Linked DNA regions of Caenorhabditis elegans. The protein of the gene in region 1 interacts with the protein of each later gene in a pairwise test. Each region holds a gene or a part of one and is shown on either strand. Other genes may lie near its edges.

Region 1 (8,143 bases):
AAAATCTCGCAGACTAACCTGACGAGCAGCAGTGAGTGTTCCATCGACGTCGAACACCAAAATTGTTCGGCTACTCGCTGGAGAAGTCATCTGAAAAATTTTTTTGGTGTTTTTTTTTAAATTTTTTAAGGATTTTTTTTGGAATAAAAGTTTTTTGTTGAAAAATTCGGAAAATGGAAAATAATACATTTAATGTCAATTTTCTTCGAGAGAGAGACCAAAATGTATAAAGAGAGATGAGTGAATAGTTGAGGATCAAAATGAAGAACACCGATAGAGAGAAATTGGGTGAAACAAAAAATAGAACAAAAAAAGGTTTTTGGAAAACTAGAAGAAAATAAATAAAATAATAATATAAAGAAGGGTAAGTTCAATTTGTTTTTTGTTCAAAAGATAAAAATCATAAAAATTTTGAAGAACAACGAATGAAAAAGCCAGTGCTTCGTGTAATATACGCAACGTGTCGTTAGAGTGTCTGCGTCTCTTCACTCTCTCTCTCTCCGCCATATTTCAGGACGACACCTATTCAAACAGAAAAAAATGTTGTTCAGATTTGGAAAAAAGATACGAAATTCCACGGAAATGAAAGAATATGATAGTTTTGAGGAAAAAACTAAAAAAAATAGGGAAATTTTAATTATTCTGCGTCTCCTCCTCCTTCTGTACAGCCAGATTTGCTAGAAATTCGGCGGTATCTTCCATTTCATCATCGTTTTTTGATGATGATGATGATGATGATGATGTTGAGCTGATTGGTGTCGTTGCTCCGTGAGCCGAGGCGGATGATGACGTGGATTGGGACTTGTTGAATAGGGACATTTGCTCGGAATCAATAATATCTGTAAAATTTCATTTTTAGATTTAAAAATCTGTGAAATTTTGAGGATTTTCTCATTCAGACACGGGATATGTGTCGATTTACGGAGCTCGTGTACTCCTCGAGCAGAAGCGGTTTTCCCTGGAAAAACCAGATTTTGAATTTTTTTTGCTGATTAATAACATATTTAACGGTGAAATCGCCAATTTTTTAATTTTTTTCAGTTGCTTTTAACAGCAAATTCGGCTTTTTGACCGTTAAATACAAAAAAAATTAGAGAAATTGGTCCAAATTCAAGCTTTTCGACAAAAACTGTAAAATTCTCAAACTTCTCCTCGGGGAGTACACAATTCCCGTAAATCGACACGGGGCAGTTTGTGCGAAAAATGCAGTGCCTGGTCTCGACGCGACAAATTTTCGCTAACTGCAAAAATCTGTGCGCCTTTAAAGATTACTGGAACTTTAAATTTTAGTTGCAGCGGAATTTCCAGTGATTTTTATAGTTTTCCGATAAAAAAGTTAAAAAAAAACCAAAATTTGAAATTACAGTAATCTTCAAAGGCGCACACATTTTTGCACCCAACAAAAAATTGTCGTGTCGAGACCGGCCACCGTAATTTTGGCGCGAAAATCGCAAAATTTCGCAGAAAAAATGAGCATTTTTCCGTACTCGGCTGTTTGTGCATCATAATCGACAGAGCATTCGTTGTCCATTCGGCGTGAGCATTCAATTTGTGCATCTCGTGGCACAGCTCATACATTTTCTGAAACAGACAAGCTTGTTCCAGCTCAATAGTTCCTCTCAACGATGGTATCCATTTGTGATGCTTGTGACACGCGTCCTTCTTCGTTCGACAGCCTTCCTCACCGAATGGGCTGAAAATTGATTGATTTGCAATTTTATTTGCTGAATGGCCGAGGTTTTTCTCGGCCACGGTCGAAGATCTGACAAGATTCAGCGATTTTTTTGCTATTTTTCCCGAATTTTTCTTTTTTTTCGGTCATTTTTTCACAATTTTTCACGCAAAAACGAGCAAAAAAAGCTCTAAATCTCTTGTCGGATCCTCGGCCATCAAAAAATTCTCCAAATTCTCCACTAACTCTTCCATTTCAATCAATTCTGAAACTGTCTTCGCCGTCTCAATCATTCCATCTTCCCATTTCTTCGGATAACCGCACACTTTCAAATGCTGTTCATCGCCCAGTTTTCGATGTTCTGGGCACAGAGATTTCAGCCGTTTACAGAAAGAATTCGTTCGCGAATCATATTTTTCACAATAAAACATGTCGTTATTCTTCTCCGGTGCTCCGAATGAGATTGCCTTTTCGCTTCGAGCCCAACACAGCTCAATGTGTTTTGTGTATTTTAGGAGGGGAATGTCCGGGAGACCACACACGATACAGCCTTCGTACTGAAAAAATTGAATTTTTTTACTTATTAATGAAAATGACCGTGTAAAGCTCTAACACGGCCATATGTCGATTTACGTGGCTCGTGCACTCCTCGAGGAGAAGTTTGCATCAATTTTTGTAGAGGATCTCCTTCATTTTGGACTCTTTTCTACAATTACACTGAAAATTTGATAATTTCACAAGATTTCAAGTTCCTAAAGGCACACGAATTCATTCAGATGGGTCTCGACGCGCAAACAAGTTTATGGTTCAATAAAATTACTTCGTTTTTAGCGAATTTTGTACTTTTCGTTCATTTCTCTTGTTTTTCAGGCCGAAAAATGGGGAAAGGACACATTTTTAATGGAGAAAAGATTTTTTGTACCTTGAAACTTATCTAAAACAATTTTTAATGGAAAAAATGAAAAGAAAACGGAAAAAATCGCTAAAACGGGTTTTTGGGTTTCTTTTCATTGTTTCTGTTAAAATTGTTTAAAATCAACTTGCAAAGTTCAAAAATAAGCTTCTCTCTATTAAAAAATGTGCAAATTCCCGTTTTTTGGCCTGAAAAAAAGAGAAAAATGGCAAGAAAACGGCAAAATTCGCTAAAAATGAGGTAATTTCATTGCAAAATGAAACAAAAAAGCTACCATAAACTTTTTCGCATCGAGACCCATTTAAATAAATCCGTGTGCCTTTGAAAAGTTAAAATCTTGTGAAATTACGATATTTCCAGAGTAATCGTAGAAAATAGTCCAAAATCAAGGAAATCCTGTGCAAAATTAAGACAAACTTCTCCTCGAGGAGTACACGAGCTACGTAAATCGACAAATGACAATTTTAACAGGTTTTTTGTTAGTTTTTCGGCTAAAAAACAATTTTTTGTGAATTTAAGAAGCGAAAAGGCGATTTTTTTTTTGTCATTTGAGCAAATGAGCCAAAAATGTACCAAATTATCATCATATCTCTCCTCTGTGCCCAACGGTTGAAGTTTCAACTGTGTCTTTATGAACTCGACGAGCTTATTCAAAAATGCCATCATATTCTTTTCGGATTCCGTCAATTTCTGAACTTCTCGATTGATTTTAGCCCGTTTCGGCTTGATTTCGTCCTCCAAACTGCGCGGCCCACCGGATGGGCCCTCGAAAAAGTACTGTTTACAGCGATTCGGTAGAATTTCAGTGAGCCGCATTCTGGCGAGCTCTTTTCCACACTCATCGGAACAATATTTGCTATCGATTCGAGATTCGTAAATACAATTCGGATTGAGACATTGACGAGGATGTTTATCGGGTTCTGCCTGGAAAAAATTGATTTTTTTTTTCAATTTTAATTAGTTCGGCAGGTTTTTCCTGTAGAAATTAAACGATCAATTCGTGAAAAGCAGCGCCGCACGGAAATAGAGGCGGAGCGTAATTTTGCAACCCTGCGGCACGGTTTTTCCTCCTTTTTCGACAGAAAATGTGTCTCCAATTTAGTTCGTATGATATTTTATGAGAATAAAAATTGGATAACATTTTTATTCGAAAAAAGGAGAAAAAATTGTGCCGCAGGGTTGCAAAATTACGCTCCGCCTCTATTTCTGTGCGACGCTGCGAAATTCACAGATTTGATCGTTCAGTTTCAACAGTAATATACTAACATTCAACTTCAACCCTGCTGCACGGTTTTTCGAGGCACCACGCTTTCAAGATCTGTTCAAAAACAAGATCTACGTTTTCAGGATCTGGCACCGTGCCAACTGCGGTTTTCTCGATGAAAAACGAAACAACGATGCTCCGATGTTACGCGTCGCGCGTTGTTTAGCGTATCTTCTAGAAGAAAATTTCAAAAATAGTTTTCTGAACGCTAAACAACGCGTAACATCGGAGCATCGTTGTTTCGTTTTTCATCGAGAAAACCGCAGTTGGCACGGTGCCAGATCCTGAAAACGTAGATCTTGTTTTGGAGGATCTTGTTTTTGAACAGGTCTTCAAAACGTGGTGCCTCGAAAAACCGTACCGCAGGCTTCCGAAATTACGCTACGCCTCTATTTCTGTGCGCCGCTGCAAAATTCACGGATTTTCGCGGATTTTGTTGTTTAGTTTCAGCAGTAATAGTCTCACATTCAACTGTATACACAAATTAAACGATCGATTCGTGAAAATCAGTGCCGCACAGGAGTAGAGGAGGAGCCTAATTTCGCTACCCTGCGGCACGGTTTTTTCCTTCTTTTTTGTAGATTTTTTTTTGATAAAATTTCGATTTTACCGTCTTTTTTCGAATTAAAATGCTAACCAAGTTAATTCTCAAAAATCGCATTGAAGAACATTTTTATTCGAAACAAGAGATAAAAATCGAAACTTTATTGCAAAAAATCAACAAAAAAAGAGGAAAAACCGTGCCGCAGGCTTGCGAAATTACGCTCCGCCTCCGCTATTTCTGTGCGACACTGCAAAATCCTCGGATTTGTACAGTTTCCACAGTAATAAATACTAACATTCAACTGTGTCCGTTTCCTTCTCAAATCAGCCGACTGTTGCCTCGTCGGCCTATTCGGTACATAATCTCGTTCATTTATAATATTAGCCTTCCGTTGTTGTGCAGCAGCAGCAGCTCCTCCATTCCCAGAGCCCTTCTTTCGTCCTCGCTTCTTCTTTTCAACTTGTTGCTCAATTACCACCGGAGCACTTGGTGCTGTGGTTGTGGCTGCCTGATGAGCGGCTTCTCGTTGTGCTGTTTTTGCCATTATAGCCTTCAGATTTTCGTCGGTTTGTCTTTTTACTGGAATTATTGAATTGAAATGGAGGGTTTTTTTCGTTAAAAAAAAAGACTGAAACTGACCGGAAAAGACCGAATTTCGTGATGAGAATTCTCGAAAAAATTAAATTTTGAAAAGAAAGTTAAATTTTACTAAAAATTCTAATTTTTGCCAACTTTTCCCTTTTCTAGCAACTGAAATTCCGATATTTTAAATTAAATTTTCACCATTTATCGCATTTTTTTGTTGATTTAGGATCGTTTTCAGCCTATAGGCATCAATTTTAGCCAGATGCCTATCGACCTAAAAATGTGCCTAAATTCTCAAAAAAAAAAATGCGAAAAAACTACCAAAATATACGCTAAATTGAGATAATTTCTTAAGAAGCTGGATTTCAGCCATTGTGGGAAAAAAAATTTGCGAAATTTCAGATTTTAGAAGAATTGGGAAATTTTCAGAGAAATTTTATAATTAAAATCGGTAGTTTCAAGCCATTTTTAGTCTATTTAAGGGTGAAATGACGAAATTTTGCTTTTTAAATCAAAAATCGCCCAAACTACCGAATTTCTTCATGAAATGCGCTGAAATTTTCTGAAAAAAGAAGTTAAGGGGCTTCAAAACTTGGGAAAAAAGCCTATTTTCAGCAAAAATTTCAAATTTTGCCAAAAAAAGTTTGAGATTTAGCTTAAAATAGGTATTTTTTCCAAAACTTTCAAGTTCCATAACCTTTTTTTGAGAAATTTTCAGAGCATTTCTACAGGAAATACGTTAGTTTCGGCAATTTCTGGTTGAAAAAACGAAATTTCTGTACTCCACCTGTAAAATAAAAAAATGTTATTTGAAAATGCCTTCGAAAATCGCCTGCAGGAGACGCAGACATTGTAAAAGATGAAAATTCGTTAAAAATGACGTAGAAAAATGGAAAAAAAACGAATAAAAATTAAATTTTATGCCCGAAAATCCGCAATTTATCATGGAAGCAGGTGAGCTACAAGCTTTTGCCGGTTGCCTAGGTTTCCATGCACTTTGCCTCACTAGAACTGAGCTCAGAGAAATCAATTTTTGAAAAGAATTTCCTCCAAATATAAACCTTTCTCATTATATAATCTTTTCGCTGAGAAACATTTCCGCATATCACAAGTTTTTCCATTTCGACACGGCCAACATGTTCCACAATTCTTTTCATCGTTACATCGAATACAATTCATACATCTTTCCTTCCATACATCCTCATTATCTTCGATTTCTTTATTTGACATACTGCTCATCTAAAAAAAACATATTTTTAGCCAAAAAATACGAAAAAAAAAATGGTTAAAAAGCCAATTTTTTAGCGAAAAATCGTCGATTTAATCTTGAATTTTTCGGAAATAGGGGAAAATTTCAATTTTTTAACAAATTTAGCCAAAAAATACGAAAAATGACGCAATTTTTTCTCAAAAATTTACAAAACTTAACAAAAATCCCAACATTGATCAAATTTCGCTAATTTTATTCAGAAAAATATTTTTTTTTCTCCTCTAAAAAATACGAAAAATGGTCAAAATTTGAAGCTAGTTTTGCGGAAAAATACATTTTTTTTTTCGAAATTCCGGAAAATTGGAGAAAAAATTGAGAATTTTTGGAAAAAAGGGGAAAATTTCAATGTTTTATCAAATTTTGCCTGAAAATACGAAAAATGACGCAATTTTCTAATTTTTTGGTCGAAAAATCGAATTTTTCATTGAACATTGTCGATTTTCCCGAAAAAACAAGTTTTTTTCTTAAAAATTAACAAAAATTCAACATTTTATCTTTTTTTCTTCTCAAAAAGGTAAAATCAAGTTTTTCCGGAAAAATTGATTTTTTTTGTCGAAATATCGGAAAATATTTTCATTTTCCGGATCACCATTTGCTGCCAATCTGAAAAATCTGATAAAACTTATGGAATTCTAAACCATCCTAACAGTATACAATATCACGAATATATATATTTCATTTATTTAGATATATTATGGTTATTTACGGGACGTCATTTAAAGAACAACATTTAAAAGTTAAAGAAAACCAAAAAAAAGAAGAAAAAAATAGATCATTAATTGTAGAGGGAGAGATTTGTTTTTTCTATTCCTTGGATTCTTCCACAACTTCTGCGTCTTTATCCTCAGACTCATCAATAACAATTGGTTCTGCTTCTGTAGATGGCTCAGCAGCCTGCTCAGCACTCGCTGGAACTTCTTGAGAAGGTTCTTCAGTTGATTTTTCAGCGGATTTCTCGGATACTTTGTCATCCTTCTTATCGGTTTTCTCCTTTTCGTCCTTCTGAAATAAATTATTACTTTTAAAACAAAATTAACCAAATTTTCAGAATTACCTTGCTCTTCTCCTCCTTCTTTGGTGGTGGTGGCATAACCTTCTCAACTACAGAAAAAATGCGATCAGCATGTCGTTTGCAGTCTTGAAGGGCCTGTTTCAGAGCAGAATTCTCATCTTGAGTGGACTTCAGCTGAGCACTTGTCTCATTCAATTTCTTGTTGGACTTGTGGTAGTGAGAGTCAATGTCCTTCTTTTTCTTGTCGATTTCAGCCTTGGCTTCTCGAAGTTGCTCTGAAAATTGAAATATTAAAGAATTTTTTTAAAAACAAAAACAATTATATTTAATCCCTACCGATTAATGAAAGCTGCTCACTAACAGTACTCTTCGCCTCATCTCTCTCCTTTTCAACTTGCTTCAGCAGCTTCATCTTCTGCACAACATTCACCGCTGATCCATTGATAATAACGACTCCATCCGACGAAGCAGAAACTTCCGATGATTTTACCGCCGCTCCCGAATCAGCTGGTTCCATGCTCTTCGCCAAATTGTAACCGAATCCTCGAATCAAGTCGTCAGTCTCCACTACATCATCGGCTCCTCCTGGAGTATGCCGTACATTTCCGTCCATATCGGTTAGAACATCAGTCAGGTGACGGTAGTTGATCTTGTCTCGGACTGACAACTTCTTGGCGAGCTTTTGGATTTGACCTCTGGATATTCCGAATTCTCCGTTGTAGAGGATCTCTTCAATGTCCTTTTCGGTCAAATAACCGCAAAGGTTTGAATCAAAAAGCGAGAAGGCTTCATATACAGTACGATTGGCAACAACTGATTTGAGATCGATTCGCTCGACTTTCTCCCTCTTTTCCTCCCTCTTCTCGTCTTTCTTTTCATCCCT
Region 2 (4,694 bases), on another chromosome or scaffold:
CACAAATTTATCCATTTTTTAAAACATATTTTTGTTTTTTTTCCAAATTTTAATTTTTTTTTACTTTTTTTAGATTTTTTAAAAATTGGCATATTTTTGAAAATGTAAAAAAAAACTTTTTAATCTTTTTTTTTTTGGAAATACGATTTTATCAAAATATTTGATTTTTATTCTATTTCATTCAGTCTATATTGTTGGAAATATTTTAATTATTTCGAAAACTTTTTTTTTCCAATATTTTCTTTCTTTTCAAAAATTGGCATTTTTGATACTTTGATTTTTTCAATAATGCCAATACTTTTTAAAGTATTTTAATTTTTTCTAAATCAAAATTATAAATAAAACGTTCTTCCATCGCTACTACACAGTCACGACACTCTCAAACTGAATAAAATGAATTACTTGTAGAAATGATATCTTGTGACCGGATCATATTTTTTTGGTGCTCTTCCTGGTTCAAGTGACAACACATTCCGAGTCCAAACTTCTTTTTCCGGTCGTGAAGATTTTTGAAGCTCTGATTGTTCAGTTTCAGTGCTTAACCCCACGGAAACTGATTCAGCGATATTTTCCTCATCATCCACACTTGATCGTTCTTGTATGTCGCTGCCATCCAGTGATATTGATTTAAGAGTCTGAAAAAATATTTAAAACTTATTTTTTATAAAATAAAATGCACAAACATCTGAATCTTGACGTTCGGTTGGCTCACAGGATTCAATTTTATTATTTTTAGACTTTTTGAACATTTTCCAGCTTAATCTATGGAAAAAATCTTGAATGGAAGTCAGCATTTTTCAACAAAAAAAAAAACGAAAAAGTCAAAACCTCTGTGGCACCATTGCATGTTTCCATTGCACGATGTATGCTTCGCCACGCTCGATCGACCAGAAGGTTTCTCTCAGGATACTCGTTTGAGCTTTCATCGTCGAAATCGCTTTGTAACTCTACATTTTCGTAGATAAACCGTTTTCCTTGTCTTTCTGAAAAAAAATCACAGATTAATTGAAGAAAATCTTAAAACTTAACTCACTTCTAGAAACAATTGGGGACTGAATATTCAGATTTTCGGTTGGAAAATTTCGTTCTTGTCGTATGAATTGAGCGGCTGGATCAACTGATAATGAAGCAAATAGAGATTCATTCATAACGTCTTCATCGGCATCTGACAGACAAAGCTCTCGGTCGAGTAGATTATCAATTTCTGAAGAATACGATCTTTTATATTGGATTTAAATATTTTAGGAAAAAAAACTAACCATTCTTGAAAGTTGCAAATTGGTTTTTGTCATGTATATGGTGACCCATTTGATGAAGAATATCTTCGAGCTCGTTTTCAGTGGTAAAATTTGCCATTTTTCCTTGAAGCCAAATGCTCGATGAAGCGTGTTTTATGAACAAGGAGGAAATGACGTACACGTTAAACTACCCGTAACGTTTTGAAAATATTTTTGAGATTGTCACAATGATCTGATCAGTCACAAGATGGTGGGGTTTTTCTGTAACAACAAACAATATTGTTCGTGCAAAAAAAAAACAAATAAAAAACAAAAAAGCAAACGTGCTCTATTGAACGCCAGAAAGCGCGCCAGGTTCAAATCTTAAAAAAATAGCGCGCGCGGTGCCATTGCAAAACAGTGCGCCCAGATTGCCAAACATGACTCCGCCCATCATTCTCCTTGTTAAAAACTTTTCCGAATTTTCTAATTTTATCCCGAAAAATTAAATTTAAAATAACTTTTTTATTAAAATTCAATAATTAATGATAATGACGGGTTTTCAGGTACATGAGCGATAACCATGCTTTTGGGCGGCCGATTCAAGAAGATGGACGAGGAATTGTCGAAACTATGAGAACAGAATCCGCCGCCATTTCCAATAATTTTAATGCGGTGAATAGCGGTAAGTCTCTAAAAGCAGAAAAATTGACCAAAATTAGCTATTATTTCAGTTAACAAATCTGTTGTACAACATCTTGATGAGCTTTCACAAAGTTTCGATGAGATTTTCACTTCAACAGACCACTCCGATGTAACTCTTGTTCTCGACGATGGAACTGAATTTGCTGCCCATCGTTTGATCTTGGCTGTGAGAAGTAGCTTTTTTCGAGCTATGCTCTATACAGGTTTTCAAGAAAGCCATCAACAGCTTGTGACTCTTCAGGAAACGAATTCAGTAGCCTTCCGAGCTGTTCTTCGGTACATGTACACATCGAAAATCGATTTTGCCGGAGTGGAACTGGATATTTTGCTAGAATATCTCAGTCTGGCACATCGTTATGATTTAATTCAGCTTATGACAGCAATAAGCGAATATTTCAAGGAAATTTTGAAGAATGAGAACTTGTGTAGTATTTTCAATGCTGCATACTTCTTTCAATTCACTGATCTTATAGATTATTGCATGCAATATTCTGATAAACATGCAGATCAGCTTCTCGAAGATCCCAGCTTCAACCGATTATCAGGAGATAGTCTGAAGGAGCTTCTTGCGAGAGATTCATTTTTTGCATTAGAATTGAAGATCTTCAATGCGGTACGTTCATGGCATCAGAATAATCCAACAATGAAAGAAGCATCAAAAGTTTTGCTGGAATTGGTCAGACTTCCCCTTATAACACAAACCGAACTTCTTAATTGTGTAAGACCAACTGGGTTGGTGTCAGCTGATACTCTTCTGGATGCTATAGAAGTTCAAACACAAAGACCACACGAGATTCCATTCAGAGGATGCAAAAGTGAGTTGAATTTTATTTATTTTCTGTTTAATCTATTCCATTTTATAGGCCTCGACACGAATATAATTCCACACTATCCACACGCACAGCCATTGTCACGAGAGCTCAGCAGTCGCTACACTAATGACGAGAATATTAGTGTATTTCAAATTGATCTCGGAAAACCATTCATTATCAATACAATTATGATGGATTTTAACTGGAAAAATGAAGTTCAAGCATTTACATACCAAGTTCACGTTAGTATGGATAATCGAGTTGATGCTCATTGGAATCTAGTTGCTGATTACTCGGAATATGATTGTCGAGGAACACAAAGACTCTTCTTCACAGATTCTGTTGTGCGGTAAGTGATTGATTTTATTGTAAAATCCATTGCATTAATAGTAGAAATTCAAAAACATTTCGGCGGTTTTGGAACTAACGGGCGAAGTTTAATTGATCTATTTTTTATTCATTTTCCGAAACATTTAAAACTTTCGAAAAAAAACTACAGCGCCTATAGTAATTTTCTACAGAAAACCCGTGAAACTCGAAAATTATTCACCATAATTTGCATTTCAGGCATATTTTGATCCGAGTCAACAATTCAATGTCGTGTAAACTGGAAGGAAGTCGAATCGAAGCCATGTTCTCTACCGAAACAATGCCTGTCGAACCTGTGCACAAAGTCATAGGTATCACATTTTGCTGTGGAAATGTAATATAATTTCAATTTTCTCAGTTCCTCATCGAAACATCACAACGATAGAAAATCACGCACGGGTTGTTGAAGGAGTTTCTCGATGTCGGAATGCTCTTATCAACGGGGATTCCTCATCCTACGACTGGGATACTGGATACACGTGTCATCAAATTGGAAGTGGTCTCATCATGATTCAACTTGCTCAGCCCTACATTATATCTTCAATGCGAATTTTGTTATGGAATTGTGATGATCGATTCTACTCGTATTATGTTGCCGTATCGAAGAATCAAGACGAATGGGTTACGATTGTCGACCGCACCAATGAAGAATGTCATGGATGGCAAGAACTCATATTTGATCCTCTTCCAGTTGTGTATATTCGACTTGTTGGTACCCGGAATTCCATAAACGAAGTCTTTCACGTTGTACATCTCGAGGCTCCCTCAAACGTTCCAATTGCCATAAAATAAAACCGGGTTACAGAAATATATATAATGCATTATTTCACTTAAATGTCTGATGAAAAATAAGTTATTAAATTTATTGAATAAAAATGTTAATAATTTCTTTTGAAAAAAAACCACATACACGGACGCCACACACCGAAAATAAATTTATTTTTTTATTTTCTTTATTCTTGAAATTCTAACCGTTTTTTTCAGATTTTTGAGAGGGATGGCGAAGCGAGAACTGAGGAAAAGTCTCAAATCAGAGATAGAAAACCTATTCAAATCACCAGAACAAGCAGAACATGAATTTCAATGTAAGGGGAATAAATAAAAAAATAAATTCCAGGAAAAGAAATTAATTTCAGGTGCAACAAAAAGACGTCGATTAACAAGCTCTGAAAAACCAACCAAGTCTCCTAGTACAAGTAGTGATGATCCATCCAAGCCAAAATTAGAGTTAAGGCTGTCCCGACTAGGTGATGGCCATCGATTAGACTGCGAAAGTAATAATCCACTTTAAAATCCACAATTTTCGCATAGTTTTCCAGCTCTGGCTCAGTTTATTCACTTCAGCATATTTGGATCATCACTCCAAAAGCCCAGATGGGTCAGTCTATCCCATCATAGAAATGTCCTTCAGAACCTAGTGGTTCGTGTCAATGTGGATGACGATTTTTTCGTAAGGGATTGCATTGAAAACCTAAATCGCTGAAATCATTACAGACGACAACGAATCTAAGCTTTCTTAGTGAATTCTTTGAAAAGCAATGGATAGAGTTGGATTCAGATGTCAGTGATCGTGGATTGTTCTGGAACAGCA

What was found.
Region 2: the proteins of cfp-1 (region 1) and hpo-9 interact in a two-hybrid assay, tested with the Caenorhabditis elegans proteins (one large-scale study listed by BioGRID).

Annotation. Positions count from the first base shown.
Region 1 is NC_003282.8:14,075,515-14,083,657, reverse strand, and holds cfp-1 (CXXC-type zinc finger protein 1), read right to left. Parts: upstream 6,218-8,143; 5' UTR 6,209-6,217; coding exon 6,040-6,208; intron 4,973-6,039; coding exon 4,689-4,972; intron 3,510-4,688; coding exon 3,159-3,509; intron 2,230-3,158; coding exon 1,919-2,229; intron 1,694-1,918; coding exon 1,488-1,693; intron 840-1,487; coding exon 634-839; 3' UTR 91-633; downstream 1-90. Other genes in the region: F52B11.2 (putative phosphomannomutase), read right to left, coding at 19-90; ccar-1 (SAP domain-containing ribonucleoprotein), read right to left, coding at 7,053-7,250, 7,303-7,535, 7,597-8,143. UniProt on the Caenorhabditis elegans protein: Transcriptional activator that exhibits a unique DNA binding specificity for CpG motifs; enriched at promoters containing the trimethylation mark on histone H3 'Lys-4' (H3K4me3).
Region 2 is NC_003283.11:7,234,220-7,238,913, reverse strand, and holds hpo-9 (BTB/POZ domain-containing protein 9), read left to right. Parts: upstream 1-1,783; 5' UTR 1,784-1,787; coding exon 1,788-1,902; intron 1,903-1,951; coding exon 1,952-2,737; intron 2,738-2,785; coding exon 2,786-3,083; intron 3,084-3,301; coding exon 3,302-3,414; intron 3,415-3,461; coding exon 3,462-3,895; 3' UTR 3,896-3,992; downstream 3,993-4,694. Other genes in the region: Centriolar and ciliogenesis-associated protein hyls-1, read right to left, coding at 403-635, 829-983, 1,034-1,204, 1,260-1,356; C05C8.5 (Exonuclease domain-containing protein), read left to right, coding at 4,101-4,188, 4,240-4,377, 4,423-4,553, 4,598-4,694.